3 linked regions of the Alligator mississippiensis genome follow. The protein of the gene in region 1 binds, or shares a complex with, the protein of each later gene. Links are inferred from orthologs where the notes say so. Each region holds a gene or a part of one and is shown in the gene's direction. Other genes may lie near its edges. The genes, in order: NUP107, NUP133 and NUP93.

Region 1 (8,011 bases):
AATCTGTCTGTTTGAGCAACAATACACTATTCCTCTTTGAAAAAGAAAAATTGGATAGTCTGCATACAGTGTGTGTGTGTGTGTGTGTGTGTGTGTGTGTGTAACATTTTTCCTTCAATTGTAATGCAGATGCAGCTAAGCATGAAGATGCATAAAAATCCTTGAACTTCCATCCAAACTTTTTTTCCAAAGAATTTCATACATGAATGACAACAGTCTCTAGACCTTTTGTGTCCAGCTTGTTTAGAGAATAGGAACAGGAAAACTGGAGCAAAAGCAACTTACACAGTTGTAGTTCTTTGAAGTTTATACCTGAAAGCATATCTAACAAGATTAGAGAAACAGAACTCTTAATCAAATTCAGTTCTTATACCTGCAGTTGGTCTTCCTCAATTACCTAATTTGCTTTTCTCTTTTTAGTGTGTGTGCTGTGGTCAAGTTGGATTTTGTTTTTTGTTTTTTAAAAAAAACAAAAACCTGTTCTATTTTTTTTAAATAACATACTTATGATTTTAAGGTTCCATGGTTTCTCACTTTTTTTCTCTCTTCCAGGTTGGGTAGAAAAATGAAATGGCACAGCTGAGTCCATTTGTACTCTGATTTCAAATTTGTGTTACACTGTGGGTTTTAAACCCTGTAGGAAATCTTCATTTTGTTTTGAAAGTGGTTGTCTTCATACAAATATTTAAACGGCTATGGAATCCGTTCATGTAGCCTTAGTTTCATTAAATTCTTAAATTTATTTGGTAATCTAAAACCTGGATAAGATGAGGACCGGCTTTCCACTTCCTTTGGGGCTAGTTTGTATCAGGGCTGTATAAGTTTTTCTGCTGAAACAGTATGGTAAAGGGACAGAATCATAGACTAAACGAACTGACTAGCATTTAATTCCATGCTCCTGTAACATATTTGAAGAGGAAGCTCTGCAGAGTGCAGACTTGCAGCTTCAGTGTTTTCTACTTTCACTGCCACCACTTTTTGAAAGGACCATAGCTGAACTAAAATTATTGGGAAATGAACTGTTTTTTCAAATGCAGCATCTCTGCCTGTCTATTAAAAGATCTGTGTCTGATTTTAAAATGAATTTGCAGTTGTAGTTATTTCCTCCTTTGTTCAGTGTAACTGAACTTTTCACATTTTAACCACATCATACATACTTCCTTAAGACCTAGCAGGAAGTTGATCAGTTGCTTCAGTCATGCTGGGTATACATATTCAAGAATAAAAGCTTCTATTCTTCTCTACAAAAAAACAGTAATGTTTCAGGTGAAAGAGGAGTATGCACTTCAATCCCTGAAACTCCTAGTTACCCATATATTAAATTCCTATGTTTATACTGGGCACAATGAAGCTTCCTTCTCTTGTCCCTCCCCCTGCTACCAAATGATTGTTCTACAGTTTAAGAAAATAGAATTTTTTAGTCTCTAGCACAGCATGTTACTTCTCTAATTTATAAAAAACTAGGAAGGCTGCCCCACTCATCTCTATAACACCTAAGAGTAGTAGGCTTGTGAGCCAAAATCCAGATAGCTGGGTTCCTACATTCTATACTGTGTAAATGAAAGAGTAGATTCAATTTTAAAATAAAGTTGTCACATGCACTTTCCTTCACTAGTATAAGACAATATATTAGTTTAGAATCTGACATTACAAGCTTTTGATGGTGTATATAATTTGGAAGGGGAGGATGGTAAGATCCTGCACCCTACCTACTGCCAAGAGTAAGGGAAGCAACACAATGTGCTTATTGCTTGCTTGTACTGGAGAGAGTTCAAGTAAATGTTTTGCTTCTGCTAGTTTTCCTGTGTTCTTGTATGATGGATTTCTTACTGTTGGTTTTTAATAATCATTTTAATGGCTTTTTCTTTGGGAGAGCAGGTATTTTTCTTAGCAACTCGTGACTTGTTAAAGCAGAGATAGACAAAATGGGTGATCCGGCTAGCAGCTGGACTCCATTTCCTAGCAGCCCCTGCCTGTACGGCTGGGGCCAGTCTCCATGGACACCCCAGCAGCCGATTTGCTGTGATCATGGAAACCCTGGCCTCCCATCGAGACCAGCACTGGCAGGGCAAATAGCAGGGTGCAATGCTGCTCTGGAGCTGGGCTGGGATCTTTCAGCGGTGACGTGATCCTGAGCCAGGGCAGAGAGCTGTGATCTGCAGCATGCATGCCCCGGACTGGGGTGTGCAGGTCACGGCTCTGCCCTGGCTCTGGATCACGCTGTCACGGCTGAAAGATCCCAGCTCAGCTCCAACGCAGCTCTCTGCCCTGCCAGCAGGGGAGGTGCCGGGGGTGGGGCTTGAAGCAGCTAGAGCAACCCCTCAATTCCCCACAGCCACCCCTCCCAGGGGTCTCTATGGAAACCCTGCCCCCTACTGTCATGGGGCAACTGCTGCTGGGTTCTGCATGGAAAGTGGCTCCAGCCACAGAGCAGGGGCTACTGGGAAACGGAGTCCACTGCTGGCTGGATCTGGCCCATGGGTTTGACTTTGCCTGCCTGTGTTAAAGTTTTATTTTCATATGGTGTAAGACTCGATGATAGGTGCCCCAGATGGCTCAAAACCCCTTTTGTGCATCTCGTCTTGAAATGTACTGGCATAATTGTGGGTGATCCTTATCTATTAAAAATTGGTCTGATTTAAATTACTTGGAACTAACTCCTGGCATTGTCCACCAGCAATGATAAACTATTATCGGGTAGGTGTAACTAAATAATGTAAAAAACCCACTATTTCTTATTTACTGTGCTTAAGGACAACCAAGCATGGTTCAGGTGCTTATGGCTGAAGTAAATAAATTAAAAAAAAAAAAAAAAGCAAAAAGGTAGGGAGGGGAAGGTCTCAACCAATGGGGGCAGAGGGGGAGGGTGGGGGGTTTGCCTTCCTTTGCAGAGTTGGGGTATTGCCCTCTACCCCAGATCTCTTGAACCCTTTTTTTTTTTTTTCAACCCTTGTAAATGTTGACAATATTTTACAGAACTAGGATGTTGCCTGCTTTAGCGTAGGATGTTAGGTTTGTGCTTGTGCAAGGGTAGTGAAGGAATAAAAAGGGTAGTGGAGTTAACTTACGGTTTTGTCGGATGGTTTGGATAGGGCCGGACTAGCTAACCCTGGAAGTCCCCATCCCTCCTGCTTTCTCTAGGATCCTGTCCCTAAAGGGCTGACGTAGCATCTTCACCCCTCTCTACTCGCCTTGTTCTGCTGCAATAATGTTAGCCACCAGCCCCATCGGAGTGCGAGCTTCTGTGGATCGTGTACCTAAATCTGAAGCCCTCTGGCTTTAGGCTTGCACTAGGATGCCTGCCAGTAGATTTGGGACTATCTGAATTCCTAGAGTGAGAGCCCGCGACGGAGGATGCCCGCCGGTTGTAGCATCATGCATGGTGTTTTGAAGAGATTGAGTTCTGCCTGCTCAATCAATGAGGTTTTCAGAACGATTTGAGCTCTGACCAATTAGTATGATTTGGCTGACTTGATCCGGAACACGAAATATATTAATGGGAGAAAAAAAATCAGTGCAAACCTGTGCCTGCAACAAGCAGGCTATGCTGCCAGAGGAGCTCTGAGTGCAAGATGCACTGAACTCTGCAGGCAGGAGTGACGCAGGGGGCAGCCCCCCGGCCCCACCTACTCCTAGAGGCGGGCGTGCCCCAGCGCTGTTTGCTGCTCAGGCCTAATGCCTGGCGTAAGACACTCTTGAGAGGAGCATTAAGCTTCACTGACAGCCCCCGACCCCCAGCAGGCCGCACAGGAAAGGCGCCCCTTGCCCCAGAGCTGAGGGACGCAGCCCACCCGAGCCACCGCAGGCTAATGTGCACATGCGCGCACCCACAGTTCCGCCTCGTCCATCGCAGGCAGCAGCGCGCAGGCAGGAGGCGCATGCGCCTTCTGCGCGCGGCGCCGGTGCAGGGTCAGCTTCCGGTGGCGGGCGGGTGCTTCCGGAACGCGGGAAGGCTCAAGTAGTGGCCACGGCCGGGGCTGCCGGCATGGACTGGTGAGTGCCTCTCCTCTCTCTAGCCAGCGCCGGACGGAGGTGGCCAGGGGCTCCCATGCCCGATGCGCTCAGGGCGGAGGGAGGCGCGGGCTGTGCAGTAGCTCCCCCCCTGGCCTGGGCTGCCGCAGGTGGCTGCGCTGGCGCGGTCTCTCCTCAGGGCTCGTGTCGGAGGCTTCCGCTTGGTCTCTTGCGCCGGCTCCAGGAGCTCGTGGAGGGGCTGTGCCGGCCCTCGTATGGTGCCCCCGCCGCAGGGCCGCCCTCCCTCAGCGGACTGACAGCGGGGCCGCGGTGTTGGCAGCTCGTTCCCGGCCTGGGCGAGAGCCGCTGCCACCGCCGGTTTCCCGACCAAACAGCAGGGCGCTCTGCCAGCGCGCGTTGTATCTTCTTGTGCTGGTGGGGAAGCACCCTTCTTGTTCACACACGCACCCTCTTGCTAGTCTGCGTTAGTTGACACCGTGCGTTTCAGTGCCCCTTAGCGCTAGGAGGTACATGTGGGAGGGAAGGAAATGTGTTGAAGGAGGGGTGTACCCTGAAAGCAGCATCTCTGGGAGACTTAGCCTTGAGGCAAGTGCACAGTTGAGGAAAGGGGGAGTGAGAGCTCTGCAGGAGGATGTAAGCAGGCGTAGCAGTGTGGTATTCCTGAATGCAATGGGAGCAGGACTGCGGCGTCCTCTGGGTTAGGTTCAGAAAAAAGCTATGAGAGTGACTATGTTTAAAGGGTTGAAACTGGCTCTGAGGCTAGGTAGTGCACTTGCCAGGCTAGGTGACTGGCTCTGAGTGCAAGATGCATCCAGAGTCTATTAATGGACAGCACTGAGTCAACACAGGGGAAGGTGACCAGTGGCATCCCTCAGGATTCAGTGCTGGGACTAGTGCTTTTCAACACGTTTATCAGTGATTTGGATTTGCATATGAAAAGCAGACTGGCGAAGCTCGTGGATGACACCAGATAATGGGGGAGCACAGTCACACTGGAGGACTGTGCTGGGGCTGGGGATATAGGACAGGCCTGAACAGGCTTGCAAGGTAGGTGGATCAAAACCTGATGATCTTTAACACTGAGAAATGTAAAGTGCTCCATCGTTATTCCATTGAGGAATAATCCACAGCACACTTATAGGCTTGACAGTGCTATACTTGCCAGCACCGCAGCTGAAAGAGATCTGGAGGTTGTAACAGATCACAGAATGAACGTGAGCCACAAATGTGATGCTGTAGCTGACAGAGCAAATCAAACACGAGTATGCATCTACCAATGTATCTCAAGCAGGACTAAGCCTGTTCTCCTCCCACTCTACTAGGCCTTGGTGATACCATAGCTGGAGTACTGTGTTCAGTTCTGGGCGCCACACTTCAAGAAGGATGGGGAGAAGCTCGAGGTTGTCCAAAGGAGGGCTACATGCATGATTAGAGGTCTGGAGAGCAGGTCATACAAGGAAAGGCAAAATGACATAGGACTGTTCAGCCTGGAGAAAAGAAGACTTAGAGGAGCCTTGGTGGCAGCCTCTAAGTATATCAGGGGTGCACAGCAGGGCCTGGGGGAGCATCTGTTCACCAAGGGATCCTCAAGGGGAAGGCAAGAAACGACAGCCACAACAACAGATTGAAGATCGTTTGAGATTGGACATAAGGAGAAACTTCTTCACCATTCAAGTGTTGAGGGTCTGGAACAGACTCCCCCCAGAGGTGGTACAGTCACCTACCCTGGAGAGCTTAAAAAAACGATTTGACATGCACCTTGCTGGGGTCATCTGACCCCGGCAGTATTTCCTGCCCAAGTGCAGGGGAGCTGAACTCAATGATCTTCTAAGGTCTCTTCCAGCCTCTAACATCTATGAAAAACTGCCAGGGGTTTTAACAAGGGTTGAAAAAAAATGTGTTATCAGAGTTCAGTTTATTTGGTTTATATCAGAGAAGGCAATGAGGTTAGGGCTATCTGGGGAAGAGGTTTTGAGTGTACACGTACCTTGTAGAAAAAGCTACAAGGAGGCACGGGGATCAGAAGTTGGGAGCTCACATAGCTTTAACTAGAAATGAGGTGCAATGAGGGTAGAACCGATGGAACAACTTATCTGCAGATATGGGGTAGTCTGTCATGTGATGTCTCTAAATCAAGGTGAGGTATCTTTCTAAAGGAATGTGGTAGTTCAGGGGTGTCATTGTAGGGTGGATCTGGCTTGCAGAGCTGTGTCATCTGGCATATGGGGCTCCTGAAGGGGTTGGGAACTTGGGGGTGAGCAGGGGTGAGGCCTTCCTCTGAGTTTAAGAGTATGAAGTCCCACTGGGAATGTGTTTTGGCAGGGTGAGCAACAGCTGTATTAAGCTTTGATTCCCTGAAATGTCTGAGCCTCTGCATAAACTGCCTGTTTAATGCCACCACTGCTTTGCCCTGCTGCTGGAGATCTGGATCCAGGAGCCCTGCAGTCCAGATCCAGCTCGGGGTGGTGTGGGGGAAATGAGCCAATCAACTTTGACAGCCCTGCTATAGTTCAAACAAGCTGAGCACTCGGATCAGGAATTGCTGTGGGAGTTCCTTAGGTCTGTGCTGTATAGGAGTGTCTCAGTGTGGAGGCTGGTCTCTTCAGGCCTTTGAACTTACTCATCTAAGTGAAGTTCCAGTTTTGTCTGTGCATATAAGTTAACTTCTTGGATTCTGAAGCTTCCCACAGAGTCTAGGAACTTTACAAATATTATGTATTTGGTGGTCTATATGCAGTTTGCATTTCACAAGCATTTTGCTTTATGGGAAAGCTAAATCTTCCCTTCTCCTTAGCACAGGTCAACTTCATGGGCCAAAGATAAATCAAAATATTTGGGGAAAGAATCAAAGGTGTGAGTTCACTTCATTCTTTATTTTAAATATCATGTCTCATAAACCCATTATGTGACTTGTTTAAACTTTTTCAAAAACATTCTGTTCTCATGTAAAATCAGCTAGTATTAGAACTTCAGCATAAATGTTCAAGTTTGTCAAAGATGTTAGTTAAAATTGGACTAGCTGTGGGAGGGACTACTGTGCATCTGTTAGAATATTTCCCATGAGTGTGAAGTTAGTTACTTAATATTTGTAGCGTAATCTTTTCAGCACTGTGGAGAACTTGTTTCTTCTCAAGCATTTCCCTCTTCTTTTAAGTTAAAGGACATTGCTGGATAGAAACAACCACAAGAGTTTGGGGCGGGGGGGGGGGGTGAGGAGAGGGGGTTATTTTGAGAAAGTAGTTTCTTTTTAATTTCATAAAATACTGGCTACACTTATTTACTTTTCTAAAGTATTTGAAAGTAGTTATTGATCGTACAATCTAATTAGCAAAAGAAAATAGAATTCTTCTCCCATAGTTTGTCCTGCTTAAATCTGTTTATTTGTATTTGTTTGTTTACTACATTTCTGTTTTGTAGGACTGATTTTGGAAATGTGGCATCCCCACAAGATGCGGAGATGACTAGGCCTGCTCGAAAACAGAGTTCTCAAAAAAGAGTTTCTAGTATCCTTTCTCTGTCAAGGTTTTTGCGTGTTTGTGAAACCTCTAATATTTTGACTGCACCATGGAATAGTTATTTTTTCTTGGTTTTGGCTTATAGCAATTATGGCTCCCATGAGATCTAGTTAATTTCAACTGCTATAGAGTACTGTATTGTATTCCTTGAAATTATGCACATTTGAAATAACACTAGTATGAAACTTGCATTTTCTTGTCCTGTACGTTCATAATATAAAGGAACATCACTAACTTTGAAATATCACTCACTAACTTTGAAATACCACTTCTAAGACCTTTAAATCTACTGTTCAAAAGTAGTGTGTGTTTACTGGTGAAAGATTACATAGTAAAAACAATCCCTCTGTTGTACTTAGGCTTTCAACAGCATTTGTATTTTGTCAATTTTACTGTATCCAACATATAGCCAGTTATTCCTATTTCATGCATGTTTGTCAAGCTGAAAGAGATAGAAAAAATTGGTAGTGAGAATTCGGAGTAACACCTGGAATGTTTTAATTCTGTCTTTTGTGTTGTTATTT
Region 2 (8,011 bases), on another chromosome or scaffold:
TTATATTAACTGACTGTATTTTTTCAGCATTGCTTTCCTGGTTGTATTTTTTTTTTAGTAACTTTTTTATTATGGAATAAAATTTTATAAATAACATTTATTGTACCTGTCATCTCATGTTGGAACTGTCCTGTTTTCACAATGTGATGGGAATTTTTAGAGGTTTGTTTTTTTTTTTTAAAAACACAAGTTTCCTATTCTGCATTTTTGGAATTAATGACCCTAGTGCCTATGTCGTATTCTTCTTCAGCACCTGAAACTCAATGTGTACTGATCACTGTATGCAGAAAAAGAGGTGTAACTTGTAAATAGTTCTCTTCAGGTCTTTTTTCAAGTGTAAGCACCTTAAACTCGGGATTCTTTTTAACATGAGCCTCTCCTTTGCCGTCTTCTGATTAGCTCTTTAAGGTACCATAGCGAGAACAAGCTCTTCTAGAAACAGGAAAGAAAGGATTGTATCATATGGTCCCAAAGCTCACCTCTGCTAAAGCAGACTTATTCCAAAGGCAAAACTTGTTCAGAAATAGTCTCATAGATGCAAGGGGTACAATTAATCTCTAATAAGGATAATTTAAACAGGATCCATGTGAGAAACTCAGGATGTGAAAATGAAATTTGGTTCAGATCTCCCCTCTGCCTAATACCATTTTAAGAAGGGATTTCTGTTAACCCTCCTGCAGAACACCATGGGAGGTTGGGTACCCCTCTTACATGGCATGTTCTTTGTCCCTGGCTTTTCTCTGCATTATTATCAGCATCTCTTGTATAGAAGAGAAGTAAATGGGATTTTCCAGTGCAGTTGTGAGCCCCGTTGAGCTTGTAAGCTCTTTGAGGTTGGAATTGCCATCTTATTAGAAGTTTTTTAAGAACAATCACAATGGCACCCTAACCTAGTCAAAACCTGTATGTACTACTTTTAATCTTGATGTTTTTATGACTGCCTGGTGGCCAGGGCTTATTACTAGGGACCTACTTAATTCATGGAGGCTGCCTCTGTATTTCATGGTCTTGGCATGGCATCAGGTGCCATTTTCACAGCCGTGTATGACAGGCCCTGCCACACCTTCAATCAAGGGATCCCAGAAGTCCTGCCTCTTCTCCAAAACTGACAGATGGCTACCTGTCAATCTCCAGGGAGAGGTGGGACTTCCAGGGGAGCCCTCTGTCAATATTCCCCTCTCTCCCTTGTTCCCTCCCTACCCTGCCACCAACGCTGTGCTCCAAAACACCAGGGTTTCCTGCCCTTTTCTGTTTGCAGCCTGGGCACAGGCATGGGGAGCAGAACAGCAAGGGCTGGCGCTGCTTAGAGCCACGAAGCAGTAGGTGGGACAGCTGCAGCTGGACTCACGTCTTGGTGCTGGTACAGAGCTGCTGCCAGAAATGGAGCTAGTGGAGGCCGGCAGGGGCTGTGGTTTGGGAGTGAGGGGTAGGGGCAGGGAACTGGCATATCAGCGCTGCTCAGTGTCCCACATCCTGGTGAGCAAAGGGGGCAGGGGCAGCTCTAACTTTTCTATGACAAAAAAAACTAAAAGCAGATGCCAAAGTGTGTAGATACTTAGAATTTGTTTATTATAATGATAGAGGCACTGGGTAGGCTTCTGAATTCCTTTAAAATTGTAAATATATCAATAAAACATTGCCCAACTGATCTCTCTATATATAGTGGTATTTAATTTTAATCGTGGAGGAACATGGATTTTCGGTATTTTAATGAGAGAATTTGAGGGTTTTTTATCAGAGAATTTGCGATTTTTAGACGAGGAACACCAGGATCTCTATTGGTGAAGCAAGGGGCAGGAACTGGGCAGAGGAGCCTGCCCAGGGACAGCACTGAGGACCCAGCTGGAGGGCAGATGAGTTGGCTGACTTCCTGGCCATTTGGGGCCAGGAAGGGAAACGTTGACAGTAGGGCCACTGCAAGGACCACATCTTCTAGGTGATAGCTGTCCAAATGGCAGAGCCAGGGCACCAGAAAACATGAAAGCAGTACTGCCTAAAGGCCATATCCATGGCCCACTGGCAGCTGGCCCAGAGGTGAAGGTGGCTTTGCTGCAGTGCCCATACCATAGCCCCGGTGGCCATGCAGCTTCCGTCTAGGTCTAGCAGATGTGCCGCCATGGGGCTGCAGGTCCAAGAGGGTGGATGCTGTCGCAGGTGGCAGCAGGTCACAGCCAGGCACCAGCCCCCACTGCCAGACTGCTGCAGTGGGTAGAGGGTGCAGGGGCCACTAGGTTAGGGCTGCTTCATCACAAGGGGCTAGTGTCCTCAGGTACCAACTGGCCCCAGCCTCAGAAGCTCCTGTCTTATTTGTATCTTCCATATTAACATGGGCCTTAAGGCCCACCCAGCTAACTAATAGCCTTTGTGGAGCCAAAGGGTGAAAGATGCAACTAATTTCTTGGATAGAAATGATGTGGGGGTCAAAGGATCAAAATGTGAAAATAAGTTCTCTAGAGGGGGACCTCAGAAGCCCCTGAGGGCATGTAGCCATGAGCTGCTAGCCAGGGCCACTGCAAGCACTTGGCCTACAAGAGATGAAATGCAAAAATCTAGACCTCTTGGTTTCAAAACGATACCTTTCATTAGACCAACTGGGGACTCGCAAAAAAATATCCTTTTCTCCAACCTTTGGGCTCAAAGGCCGTTCATCAGGCTCTGGAAAAAGTATAGATCGTACATTTTGAACACTTCTACTACACATTGTACAAAAGTTGACATTATCCGAGAAATACGGTAATTATCCTACATAAGGTAACACAGCACCCCTCCCAGCCCCGCTCTGCGCATGCGCCACAGCTAACTGCGCGCCTCAAGCCTAGCCCCTACAAGCCGGCGGCCGCACACCAAGCCCCTCCCCTCCCCTCCCCTCCCCTCCCGCCCGCAGTGGTGGAACAGAAGCCCCGCCTCCTCTGGGTGGGATGCCCTGTCAGGTTGGCTATTAACGGCTCTGGAAGGGGCGTGGCTGGGCGTGATGTGAGAGCAGTGCGCGGCGCAGAGAGTGACGGCGGAAGCCCCGGCGAGTTTGGAGGCAAGCGGGTCGGAGCGCGCGCGCCCGCCCGCCCTTCCCCCGCTTATCCTAACTGCCCCCTCTGCCCACCATGTTCGCTGCTCCCCCCGCCTCTCCGCGCACACCGAGTGGCTCGGCCCGTCGGGCCCTGGGGGCCGCTGGGGGCTCCGTGTCCCGGCCGGGCGGCAGGAGAAGCCTGGCCCTGGGGACGCCGGTCGGCTCTCCCGCGCTCTTCTCCCCGGCGGGCAGGAGGAGCGGCTCCCTGTCAGCACGGTGAGTGCCCCACCCCACTCGCTGCGCGGAAACCCTTGCGCCGCCTGGGCCCCGCCCCCTGCTGCTGCCGCCGCCTCGCTTTGGCTTTGTTGCCCCTGACGCGCATGCGTGGGGTGGGCGCTTGGCTACCCGCACGTGCCGCGCCGCGAGGTCTAGAATGGCGTGAGGTAGGGGGCGTTGTGTGAGGGGAGACCTGAGAGGCCGGTCCTTGCCCGAGTCCGAAGTCAGTCAGGAGGTGGGTATCAGAGTGCCTTTGGAGAGCGACACAGGAGGGAGTGTGTTTTGTGTGTCAAGTCTTTTTTTGATGCATGTCTGTATCCCTGCCAGTGTGATAACTTTTGCTGATGCTTTAAGTGTGAAATCGGTGAAGTTTCTTTGTGGAGATACATTTTTTTTCCCCCTTATTAAAAGTGCCAAAAATGTACAACATGAGCTTGTGTGAGCCCCAGTTCCCTTCATCAGATGCTGGGAGAGGATGTGCAGAAGGCAGAGTCTTCGGGGGGAGGGGAGAAGAAACTGGGATGCAAAAGCTTTTCCTTTCTGTTCTTACACTCTGCCTCATGTGTATCCTTTCCCAGCATCTGTTGGAGGGATCTGGGGTTCACAAAACACGCACTCTCTCCCACACACCTCTCTCTGGATAGGTGTCTATATCTACCTGCATCTAGAGCAGCGTTTCTCAACCCAGGTCGCAACCCAAAAGTGGATCTCAAGAATATACAAAAGGGTTGCAAACAAACTTGAACAGTGGATCAACAAACTTTTAAAATGGATTCTTCTTTAAAAGGGAAAAACTTGGCAAACTGTGGCTTTTCCCTTGCAGGCTGGTAGAGCTCCAGCTTGCCAGGGGCTGCTTGGGCCCCCCCCCTTGCCCCACATACCCACCCCCTGACCTACACACTGTGGGGACAGGGCAGTGGGTCAGGAGTGAGAGGCACTGGGTTGGCACTGGCTATTGATGTTGACAAATGGGTCCTGGTACAAAAAAGGTTAAGAACCTCCAGAGGCCAGTTGGGAAGTGGGGGCAATCAAAGCGTGCAAAAGCAAAACCAGAAGTCTGTGGGAGCAGAAAGCCTAACTACTTTTAAGAAGTGAAGTCATTAATGTATGTATGTTGGCCTGTAAGAGTAAGGGAGTGGATTTGATGATCTAGGGCGATGGTGTTCAACTCATCTGGCCGTCTGAGTTAGGGCCTGTCTGCAGAGGCTGGATCCAGCATGTGGGACCATGTTATGGAGCTACCCATGGGCCCAGAAATTTACTGGCACGGGAGCTGCAACAGTGTTAATTGTCATGGCTCTGGGAGCTGTGGTAATTAATGCTGCTATACCACTCCCTTGTCAAATTTCCAGACCCATGAGTAGCCCCGTAGGCTGAATGACATGGCTCTGTGGGCCATATCTTGGTCACCCCTGACCTGGGGGATCCTTTTAGAGGAACAACAAATCTACTTCCCCTAATCAAAAAAAAGTTCAACTTTAATATTTATGGACTTGGGCATTGTTGATTTGTTTGCTACATAAAGGAACTAAGGTTGTATGAAAGAGGCCTATCCCTAAATTGGGGAATTTAAATAGGATAGCCTTGTTTTATATTTTCTTAAGCTTTTTAATGTTTTCTGGTGGGAGATATTTCAAGATTCTGGGGCAATAGTTTTTTAGTTGGTTCCTGAGTTTATAGCAAAGTGGGGGGAACTTTGATTCCCAGGCCAAATCTGGCCCACAGGATCTATCGCAGGGTGGGCAAAATATGGCCCACAGCCTGGATCAGGCCCGCCAGTTGATTGCATCTGGCCTGTGGCACTTGGATGGGAGACGGTGCCAAGGCATCCTGTGCCACACTCCTACTGTACTCCTGCCTGTCACATCCCCAGCCAGTGTGCACAGCTTCTTTTCAGGGCTGCTCTGGTTGTGGCTACAGCCGCCTGGGTACTGCTCAGCTCTCCCCACTTCCAGAAGCTCCTCCTCCAGCCCCTACTACACTGGTATGGGTGGCAGGCAGTCACGGGGAAGGAGTGGTGGCTGTGGGAACATGTTCCAGGCACCACACACCCAGCCAGGTAGGTGGGGAGGTGTGAGGAAGCTACAGCTGGACAACTTCTGCCTCAGCACGCAGGGCTCCAGCTCCTGGCCAGTGTTCCCTTTAAGGTGTAGCAGTCCATGAGCGCGCCGTTTCGATCCGTTCCCGAATTGGTCCCACCTCCCCCTTTCAGCACGCGCCACTTTGGTCTGCCTCAGTATAACAAAAAAAGATGATACTATAACCTTTATTTACCAAAGTGACTCCTGTCTACCTTTTTCTGTTTTCCAAACAGAATATACAGTGTCCAGGTTAACAGTCTTTCCTGATGCTAAATGAAGTTTACTTTGCATCAGCTTGTCCAGATTATCAGCTTCTAAACGATTTCTAGACTTTGTTTTTATTGTGTTCATGAGGCTAAACCCTCTCTCACAATCTGCACTAGATGCCTGGAAAGTGGCACAGATGTCAACAAGTAATGACAGTTCACTAAATTGTTCCTGTTGTAGTATGTAGGTGACCATGTCTTCAATGGTCTTTATTGCCCCAGTTTTCATCTTCTCACTAACAGTTAATTTAAAGTCCACATATTTTTTGCATAGTTTCTTCTTCAGAGTTTCTACAGATTTGTTTAGCAAGGTGCTATCTATGTCTTGTTGCCAATGCTTTCAGCACCTCGTGCCCAAAAGAGAAATCATTCCTGTTTGATGAAGAGGAAAAAGAATCCTTATAAAAAAATTGACCATTCTTTCAACTCGCCTTCTGGAAATCTGTTGTCTGTGTGGTCACATGTATGCTCAATGATTTGAATAACTGATGTAGTGTCAACAGGTGATTCAAATGATGACAGCAAGGTTTGAACGTTTTCAGAAAAATATACAGTCTCACCAAGATACTGAAAAGCAAAATTTGGCAATTCTAGCTTTAGCAAACTGAAATGCTTCTACTGTTGTTAGTGAACTTCGTTGAAGCATTCTGCACAGCTCAGCCACTTCACCTAAGACATCATTTAGTATGACCAGTGCAACATGATACTCTGGTTTCCGCAGTTTGTCCAAGCAATATTTGTGAATTGGGTCATCGTCTTCAGCCATTTGTTGTGTGCAGTAGTTCATCAAGGTGCTAACAGTAAAATGTCTAGAGAGCCATCTGGCCTTATTCAGTGGTCTAAATGATGTTTCACACTCAGCAGCCTTAGGTAGTTCTTCAAACTTAGATTTTTTTACAGAAGACCTACTAAAAAGTGTGTATATGGTCTGTAGTAGAGTTTCAGTGCACCCCATCATCAATGCATCATCAATCCCCAAGTTTTCCCAGTGTGCCACGCAGTGCTGCTTGAGCAGATGTGGAATAGACTGGCGAAGTACTGCAGCCACACCATTGCACTTTCCAAGCATTACTGAAACACCATCAGAGGTAAACACTATCTTTTGCATATCTAAGTTGCTGTCAACATAAAATTGCCTAATAGTGGAGCTATCACAAGCTGTCAGCTTTAAAATTCCAGCAAACCTGTTCAGATGTGTGAAACCATCCATAGTTCAGAATTTTACTTACAGTATTAACGTTTTGCTAATAGAGATACCTGTGCTCTCGTCAACTATCAAAGTGTGGAATGCGATGTACACATTTCATTCAGTACTCCCTGATGAATTACAGAATTTATGCAGTCAATAAATTGAAATGCATAATTCTTACTTCTCCAGCTTTCGGGAATTTTAACATATTTACCAACGTGACTCTGGATTTCCTGCACTGATAACATTGATAAGTTTAACTTCACTGTGAGGAGAACATTATCAATTAAGACTTTTACCTCATCGGCATTTGATCACTTCCTTTCAGACAGTTCTATCCTATTTTCCCGTGTCTCGCATGTTTCAGAAAATGAACTTTTCAGGATTCCTCTGCTTTGGTTGCATAGTTTCATCACAGAATCTGTGTGAATCTGTCAGTTTCGAACATCTCCTTCAACCAGTCTTCTTTGAATCTTGAGCAGCTCTTCTTCTTAGCTCGTCCACTGCATTCATCCTCTTCACACTTATGCTTGGACATTGTAAAATGAATATAAAGATGATCCTTGCTGCAGGGAAGATATTGGCCTTTCTAGAATGATAGAAAAAGCAGTTAACTTACCCAAAGCACCTTGTCTGCATATGCCCTTAGACCAACACAGCTGTAGCTAGCACTTTAATACTTTAAAATTTAAATGCATAAATTAATGACAATAAAGACAAACCACTAAATGGCTAAAAAACTGGTGCCAGCCCCCACCTCGCCTCCGGGAACACAGCTTGGAGGGAACCTTGGCCCTAAACACTGGCCTTTCTTTGATTTGAAATCTGCTTTTATTTCTGCAGTGATGCATTTTAGGGAGTAGAGGATTGGGTATTCATTTGGAATTCATTTATTTTTATTTTTCACTTATTAACATGACTGTTTTTGATGGTGGAAAGATAACAACCAAAGGTCAAATCTCACTTGGATACAGCTCCTCTTTATTTAAATAGGCATGTGAATTTCAATAGGAACTTGCTGTATTTTCCTAAACTTATTTTATAATCATTAACTTGTACCATTTTGAGCTTTTATGTGTCATATATTGGCAGTATAAAATAGCAAAGGCCCTCAAAGCCAGGAACCTCAGCCCCCGTTCCTGCATTGCCTGTAAGAGTGGAGCAGTTTCCTGGCCCTGGCCCTGGCCCCAGCCCC
Region 3 (8,011 bases), on another chromosome or scaffold:
TGGAGGGATGTGGGCAGTGGGGTTCCCCAGGGCTCGGTCCTCGGGCCTGCACTGTTCAATATCTTCATCAGTGACTTGGAGGAGGGGGTGAAAAGCACCTTGTTCAAATTCGCAGATGACACTAAGATGTGGGGAGAAGTGGGCATGCTAGAGGAGAGGGACAGGCTACAACTATCTCTGGACAGGTTACAGGGGTGAGCAGATGAGAACAGGATGGGTTTCAATACTGACAAGTGCAAGGTACTGCACCTAGCAGGGAAGAACCAGCAGCATGCCTACAAGCTGGGGAACTCCCTTCTCATCAGCACAGAGGCAGAAAAGGATCTTGGAGTCACTGTTGAGTCCAAGATGCATGTGGGCCACCAATGTGAGGATGCGGTCAGTAAGGCTAACCGCACCTTGTCATGCATCCACAGATGTATCATGAGCAGGTCCAAGGAGGTGATCCTCCCCTCTATGCGACACTGGTCAGGCTGCAGCTGGAGTACTGTGTCCAGTTCTGAGCGCCACACTTCAGGAGGGATGTGGACAGCATCGAGAGGGTCCAGAGGAAGGCCACCCACATGATCAGGGATCTGCAGGGCAGGCCCTATGAGGAGAGGCTATGGGACCTGAACATGTTCAGCCTCCACAAGAGAGGGCTGAAAGGGGATCTGGTGGCCATCTATAAACTGGCCAAGGGAGACCAGCAGGCAATGGGAGAGTCCCTGTTCCCCCAAGCACTACCGGGAATAACAAGGAACAAAGACCTTAAGCTGACTGAAAGTAGATTCAGACTAGACATCAGGAGGTGCTACTTCACTGTCAGGGTACTAGGTTCTGGAACCAACTTCCAAGGGAAGTGGTGCTTGCTTCTACCCTGGGGGTCTTCAAAAGGAGGCTGGATAATCACCTAGCCGGGGTCGTTTGACCCCAGCATTCTTTCCTGCCCATGGCAGGGGGTTGGACTTGATGAGCTGCTCAGGTCCCTTCCAACCCTCCCAACTATGAAACTATAATCTTTCTGATTCATTATTTTGGAATCATACAGGCTCCATAGGTTTGTTAAATAAAGCCATGGGACTTCATTCTCTGCTGAAGGGGAAGGGATCCTATGGTAAAGAGATTCTGGAAGCAAGGAATAAAGAACAGGAAGTGCTCCCGCTGTGAAGGCTTCATTACTGACTTGGAATTGAGAAGACACAGAACCTGTGGGAATGCATGCAATGCCTACATGCAGGGCTGTCTCTGCTGACTGGTGCAGAAGGGGTTGAATCAAATCCTTGCCCTTATCTCATCCTTATTTTAGGGAAGGGTAATTTTTGGCTCTAACCTGGAGCATAGATTGCACTCACAGGTCCCAATCATGCAAGACCTTTTGTGGCCTTTGCAAAAAATACTGAATGTGTTTGGGTGCCTGTAGATGTACAGGAAGGGTGCTCTGTAATTACAGCATGTTGGAGCAGACTCAATTAATCAAGTCTGCTGGAGTGTGCTAATTAATGCACTCCAGCAGCCTGCATGTCTCATGTATTCAGCGTCCCCATGCTTTAAGATGGTGGTGGGGGCCCTTTAACTAAAGCTTGTTCAGTAAGCTTCAGTTAGTGCTCCTACTGCCATTTTGAAGCATGGGACATTGATTACACAAGACACTGAGGGCACTTCAATTAGAGTGGCTCTCTGAGCTGCTCTAAATACCCCCCCTTCCCCCCCTGGAGCATGTGTAATAACACCCTTTAATTCAAATCAGCATTTTTCTGAGTTATGGATGCTCTTTACCTTGCAGAGTCTAGATCAGGGGTCAGCAATGTTTTTGAGCAGAGTGCCAAAAACACCCACAACCTTGACTTGTAAGATGTTGGCATGCCGGGGGTGGATGGCAGGGGCTGCAAGGGGCCAAATACTTGTTGTGGCAGTGCAGGCCTGGTCCACTCTCCACCGTCTGCCCCAAGGTGCGTGTGCCAAGCAAAATGCCTTTGCATGCCATGTTCTGGCACCCGTGCCGGGGATCGTCCACCCCTGGTTTAGATCATTTACTGGCTCCTAGACTGGAATACAAAGGGAGAGAAGTTTTGCATCCACCCCTTCACTTTGCAAATCTGTGACAATCTGATTCATACTCAAGGCCTAGGGTCTTGGGTGAATTGAGCAGGAAATATGATCTGTTAAAACAAATAGTCAAGCCAGCAGCCTCCCACCCTTATCAAGTTGTTTGGAAGGACAGTTGTTTTCTGTCCAAGGACAGGGCACCTCTGTAAGTGCCTTGTGTCTCCTGTAATTTTTCAACTCACCACTGTGCGTAGCAAAATCTTTAAAAAAATTGTAGAGAAAAGAAAGAAGGGGAGAGAAAAAAAATCCTCTCTCTCTGCTTTCTCCTCACTGGAGACAGCTGGCATTTTAAACTAGAATGCTGGATCCAGCGTCCTTGAAGGACCAATGTCAGATGTTGGCATTATGAATGTCAGACACCAGACGATCACGCAGCTCCATGTCACCAGCAAGGCAGACAGCATGAAACAAATCCAGATGGCAAGGTAAGAAACTACTAGGCAGGAGGGAGGGAGAAGTGTTCTCCGGCTGCCTTTTAAATATTGCTACTGATCTTTCAACCAAAGCACTTAATAGCCTCTGAAGGAGCAGTATCTTCACCTCTTTACCCTTTGGCTCCAGCTTATGCCACTAAAATGCAATCGGGGGTGGAGGTGCAGGGCAGGGGGAGATTGGAATCTGCTGCTGATCAGGATGTGCCCGTGGTAGGAGGAAGTATAGTGAATACACTGGGGGGAAGAGAGATCATAAGACAGTTACTATGCCTGGCCCTCAGGCTTTAAATTCTGTTTTTAGAGAGTTTGAAGGGTGAAGGGCATTTGATCCCACTCACTCCTCCGAGTGGATTTTACTGTGGAAATCAGGGCATGCCCATCCGATGATATTACATTTGAATCTCCCCGCAGAAGATCTATAAAACTAGAGGTGACTGTAGCCTGTTAGGCTGAGATCCCCAAGAGGGAAAGTCGGCCACAGCAACCTGCAAGTTATCCCTCACTGGGAGGCTCCGTGCTAGGCCGGTACAGCCCTCCAACAGGGAAACCAGCCAGGAGGAAGAGCAGCGCCCTCCCGGGCAGCCGCACATCAGAGTTGCTCGCCCCAGAACAGCCCAAGGCGGAGGCCGTGAGAGCAGCCTTGGTGCGCACCCTGATCGAGCCCTGGCCTGAGGAGATGAAATGAGGCCTGTGACCCGTACAGGCCTCCATCCACCTCCTCCCGCCCCCGCCCGGGTGTCGGGGGCAGGGCGGGGCGGGGCAGGGCAGGGCCGGGCCAAGCAACCCCAGGGCCACCGCCAGGGGACACCCCGCCCCTACTGCCCGTGTCTCCTGCCAGCGCCTCAATAAAGTTTTGGCGTGGGGGCTGCTGGGAGCTTGGTGGCTGCTCCAATCAGCGCGTGCGGCGCGGAGTGGGCACCCGCGGCGGAAGGACACCGGTAAGTGGCGCCGGGCCGGCGCGTGCGGGACGGCGGCGGCGGCGGCTGTGGCCTCTGCGGCCTCCCCCCGGGGCCACGTGCGCGGCCCTCAGTGAGTCCCTGTCCGGCGGCTCGTGCTCGCCCGGGCGGAGCTCCCGGGCCCCGGGCTTGTCAGCGCGCCGGGCGGGTCTGCCCCGAGCACGAGCTTCCCGGCTTGTGTGGGCGCCTGCAGCCGCCTGCGCCCTGCCCTCTGGGGCCTCCCCTGCCTGGTCTCTAGTGCGGGTTCTCGGCCTCTTCAGCGGCCAGGCCCCTGCGTTAGGCTCCAGCCCCCTCGGAAAGTGCCCGCTCTTAACTTTCCCTTGGATTTCACTGGTCTGCAAAGTACAGCTCTCCCCAGCCCGCTACTTGACTTCAGACTAAGAAACCATCACTATCTCTTTGTGCTGACTACCGGCCATTTCCCATTTGCTCCTTTTAGGCTTTGACTGGACTAACCCATCAACAGGGGAAAAGGACTATAGGGAAACAAATGGCATATGACAAATGTCCTAGACACGTTAAAAAATATCTAACTGAAATGCGTACGGTGTGGTTTTGCTCTCCTCTGTTCTCTGCATTCTCTGCCTTTCTGACCAGCAGTAGCCTCAAGTATGTTCTCTTGATTGGGACACTAGGTTTACTGGACCTTTTTAGATGGGATCTGATTTGTCTTCTAGCCCTGGTCTCTACAGGGTTGCAGCACAAAATGCTGACTTGAGTGCAACCAGGGTTACAATCTCCATGGGCAAGGCAAACCTCTTGTTAATGTGGTTGGAGTTTTCTTTTGTTAAAACTTAGTCTTTTGACACAGTGAAACTTGATGGGTAGATGCACACCACTCCATGCTGCTGGCTACCTTCCCTGGCCCAACACTGGCCTTGGCTCAGTAATTCTGTCACATGCACAATGCCTGTATTTTTGGATGTGTGATATTTTTTTTTTTCCAGCAGAGAGGCTATCTCAGTAATTTCTACATTTCTTTTGTAACATCCTTTATAATTTCTGAGTGTGTTGAGTTTTTGTCTCCCCCCCCCCCCCCTTCCAAATAATGGTAGCTTTCCACGTAACAGTGGTTAGCCTAGTATGTCAATGGTCTGGGCTCGGATTGGGTGCTTAATGTATATAGAAAGGAGTTTGGGGAAAAAGCATGAATTCTGAGGTAACAAAACTGACAGGTGACACTATTACAGGTTTCCTTTGCTTTATGCTGTACACGCATTCCTGGAAAACGGTGCATACCTCAAATTCATACAAAGGGAACCCACTTTACAATGTAACAAATCGGGATACATTCCAAGACCTCGATTGTACTGACCCCCACTTTACAAGACCGTTTTGGTACTTGCCAACTGCACAGGGTGGTGGTGAATGTTACCATAATAAGGATGGCAACTGCAGAAGCACGTGTCACAGACCACAAGCGAGGAGCACAGATCCACACAGGCAGGGCCCTGTCCCTGTGGCAGGGGTGAAATGGGGTGACCACCCCAGGCCCTGTGCTTTGTGGGGCCCTGCAGAGCTGGGTGGAGCAGCAGCGGCACATCCAGCCACTCGCTACCCCCCACACCACCGCTGGTGCTGACGACTGTGGCAGCTTCTTTGGGTCCGAGGCCCATGGGATTGGAGTAGGATTGGGGCCCCGCAAACGCTGACTTGCCCCGAGTCCTGTACCCTGCTTGGGTATGCTGTGCACGCAGGAGACTATATTTGGGTGTGCGTCAAAGCAGCTGTCTGAGGGCTTCCACCACACTGATCACATAAGAGTGAATTTACCTTGTATATAATGAATTTTTGGTATAAATAGCTCAGCGGATAAGAGTGAATTTGCGCATACAGAACCTGCATAAAGCAAGCAAAACCTCTATTTAAGAGGCAAGGGTCGAGAAACCTGAGGAAAACCTGCATGGTTGCTTTGCAAGTTGTATAGAAACATAAAAACAAGCTGACAGTCAAAAATACTAAAAAGCTTGTTTGCGCAATCAACAAGTAGTCTGCAGCGTTCAGGTTATAGAATTTTTATATCAAGGAGTTGTAAAGCCAGAATTTCTAGTGGTTGGTGAAAACTTGGAAATGGATGGTTGTTTTTGTAAGTATTATTTTTATTGTAGGATTTTAAATACAGGGACCTCCAGAAGCTGAGAGAAAGGGAGGAGCCATCAGCAAAGCTTTGGGACATGCCTTACTGTATAGCTTAGCAGCTTCTCCATCTTCTGAGTAGAGAGAAGATGTTGGACTTGTTGCCAAAGTGCTGCCTTGCACCTTCTTTAGGTGGCTTGATACTGCTACTCCTAGCTGCCCCTAAAGCCTCTAGAAAATCAGCAGTGTTAGAGTCTCCTTTTCTCACAGGAGCTTCTTGCTCATCCTTGGGTTTGTCTTTCTTTCTCTCTCTCTCCTCATGATTAGTTTCAATTTCTATAGGTGCTGCTGCTGGTAGCTTTCCTAGGGAAGCTGAGGAGTCAAATTGACCTGATTCTTGTCTCTTTCATTGTTGCTTATGAGTTTCTGAATGTAAAGGGTGAAACTGAACCAGACTTGTCAATTTCACTTTGCTGCAGTAGTACTGGAGAGGTCTGGTATGCAGGAGGGTAGATAGTATATCTTCATATTCATTTTCCATTTCGGAGAGATCTTCAAAGCTGTAAGTGGTAGATGGCCTTAATAAAAGATTGGTAGACTATATTCAGAGTTTAATGTGACCACTCTACACACCAGTTATAAAACAATGACTTGTTGAAAAAATATATAAGTAATGGAGTCTTTTTAACCTTGAGTTTTGATGTCTAACTCTAAATGTGGGTACTTCTATTATATTTTAGATATTTTATCTGTTATATTATCTTTCATAGTAATAAGCTAAAAAAATTAAATTGCTCTATATTTCTCAAAGCTAATTAATTAGATGACACATACCTTTCAGTATTTGAAAGATAACGGATGATGTTCACATATTTGAATATTTAAGCTTTGAAGCCTGTTCAATAAAATATTCAGCATGGCTATATTTGGAGTACATTAATTACGACATTCTTCATTGGGCAGCATCACTGTCGTCTTGAGGAGAATTAGTCGTTTTTTTAAATGGCAAATCATCATTTAAATCAGTGTGGAGTTAACAAACCATACCTGTCATTGCCTTCCAGTGCCCTTTTGGCTTAAATTCAGTCAACTACTGCAATATATAATGTTTATTTTTAGTTTCCAAATGTTAGAGAACTGTTAAAATGGAGTTTTATTGGACATGGAATAGTAGTTTAATGCAGCAGCATCTATTGATAAGTTATCAATGTTGTTTTACAGAAGAGCCTTTTCAGTTTCGGCTTTTAGCCGAGGGTCGATCTGGCTTTACAGAAGTTAGTTTAATTTCTTTTGTCTGCATTTTCTTTCCCTTAGGTGTCAGTTGTTGCTCTTTCCTCAGCCAGACATGAAAATCTGGCATCATTCTGCTCATTACTGTGGTAGCACTTCCCATCTTGAACAGCAGCATTAAGAGTCATACTGCAGTCTCTTGAATACAGTAAATTCTGTGAGTGGAAAGACTAGTTTGCACAGTTGCTTTATCTAAATATTTGAATTTTTGACGTTTAAAAAAAAAATGTGATTGGTGTTCACTGTGTAGATGAGAATGAGTTGTGATTTTTACAGGTTTATTAACCACAGTTAATTAATCTTATGAGGTAAAAAATGATGCTTATTCCAGATTTACTGAAATCCATCCGTCTTTGGAGTGGGTTGCTCCAATATTTGCAGTTATGGAAGAAACCTTTCGTGGCAGTGACCCCAAGTCTGTGGCCAAAAATGCAGTTTAGGGAGCTGTTCTAGAGTGCACTGACTCTTCATGCTATCTAGTTTCAGTGCTCTCTGAGAAGTTAGCGCTTTATGCTCCTGGCTTTTTATCTATGTAGTTAATGAAAAAGGGAAGTGGACCAGATCAAACTGAAGTCTGTGCCATTCTTACAGTCAGTGCCACACACACTGCTCTCTTGAGAACTGATGGTAGCGGTCTTAACTGTATGGGAAGCGTGGTTATTTAGGTCAGTGCCTGCCAACAGAGACTGCTACTGGTAGTGGTGAACAAGAGATCTCTGCCAGGGGGAAGTGGCACACGAGTAAACGCAGGAAAGATGTCCTGTACTGCATTGCAGGGCATGAAAGTGCTTTTTTTTTTCCATTGGCTTGCTAATCTCATCAAACAAATCCAGTCTTAGCAGTCTAGTCTGGGTATTGATTAGTAGAAATTCAGTTGTCACCTGTGCCCCAAAACAGCTGTAATTTTGCCAAAAGTGTACTGGGTATGTTTATGGGACCCTTACTTCCTGGAAGTAGGTGTTAGTGTGCTGATCTCTGTGCAAAGTTATTGAATGAAATGCTTGTGCATTGTTTTTTCTGTTCGGTACAAAAGTTTGAATTGCCAAATGTAATGCTTCAAACCCTGTTCCTGTCCAGATAGAATTAAACAGTCCCATTAGGACTGTTAATAGTGGGGCTTATGGTCAGGACTGAAATTATATGTAAGGATATAAAGTCATTCCATTG

The links.
Region 2: the proteins of NUP107 (region 1) and NUP133 are in contact, whole or in part, in a crystal structure (PDB 3CQG), measured with the Homo sapiens proteins. The link is inferred for Alligator mississippiensis from reciprocal best matches to the Homo sapiens genes NUP107 and NUP133. Residues at the interface, in NP_065134.1 of Homo sapiens: Leu875, Gln876, Ala878, Asp879, Val881, Ser882, Ser883, Glu884, Tyr889, Lys894, Leu897, Arg898, Leu900, Leu901, Gln902, Arg905, Ser908, Leu909, Leu912, Asp917, Pro918, Leu919, Tyr921; in NP_060700.2 of Homo sapiens: Trp937, Leu938, Ile941, Asn942, Gln944, Leu946, Tyr963, Ala965, Lys966, Lys968, Thr969, Leu970, Gly972, Leu973, Lys975, Leu976, Ala977, Leu979, Ala980, Ser981, Asp982, Ile992, Glu999.
Region 3: NUP107 (region 1) and NUP93 share a complex: the UniProt entries of both Homo sapiens proteins name them as parts of the nuclear pore complex. The link is inferred for Alligator mississippiensis from reciprocal best matches to the Homo sapiens genes NUP107 and NUP93.

The regions. Positions count from the first base shown.
Region 1 is NC_081827.1:69,366,940-69,374,950, forward strand, and holds the start of NUP107 (nuclear pore complex protein Nup107), read left to right. Parts: upstream 1-3,971; 5' UTR 3,972-3,985; coding exon 3,986-3,993; intron 3,994-6,766; coding exon 6,767-6,823; coding exon of another isoform or gene 6,824-6,825; intron 6,826-7,389; coding exon 7,390-7,475; exon of another isoform or gene 7,476-7,494; intron 7,495-8,011. UniProt on the Homo sapiens protein: Plays a role in the nuclear pore complex (NPC) assembly and/or maintenance. Required for the assembly of peripheral proteins into the NPC. May anchor NUP62 to the NPC. Involved in nephrogenesis.
Region 2 is NC_081824.1:149,063,188-149,071,198, forward strand, and holds the start of NUP133 (nuclear pore complex protein Nup133), read left to right. Parts: upstream 1-2,987; 5' UTR 2,988-3,098; coding exon 3,099-3,280; intron 3,281-3,435; exon of another isoform or gene 3,436-3,515; intron 3,516-8,011. UniProt on the Homo sapiens protein: Involved in poly(A)+ RNA transport. Involved in nephrogenesis.
Region 3 is NC_081833.1:36,479,726-36,487,736, forward strand, and holds the start of NUP93 (nuclear pore complex protein Nup93), read left to right. Parts: upstream 1-2,325; 5' UTR 2,326-2,513; intron 2,514-3,353; exon of another isoform or gene 3,354-3,460; intron 3,461-8,011. UniProt on the Homo sapiens protein: Plays a role in the nuclear pore complex (NPC) assembly and/or maintenance. May anchor nucleoporins, but not NUP153 and TPR, to the NPC. During renal development, regulates podocyte migration and proliferation through SMAD4 signaling.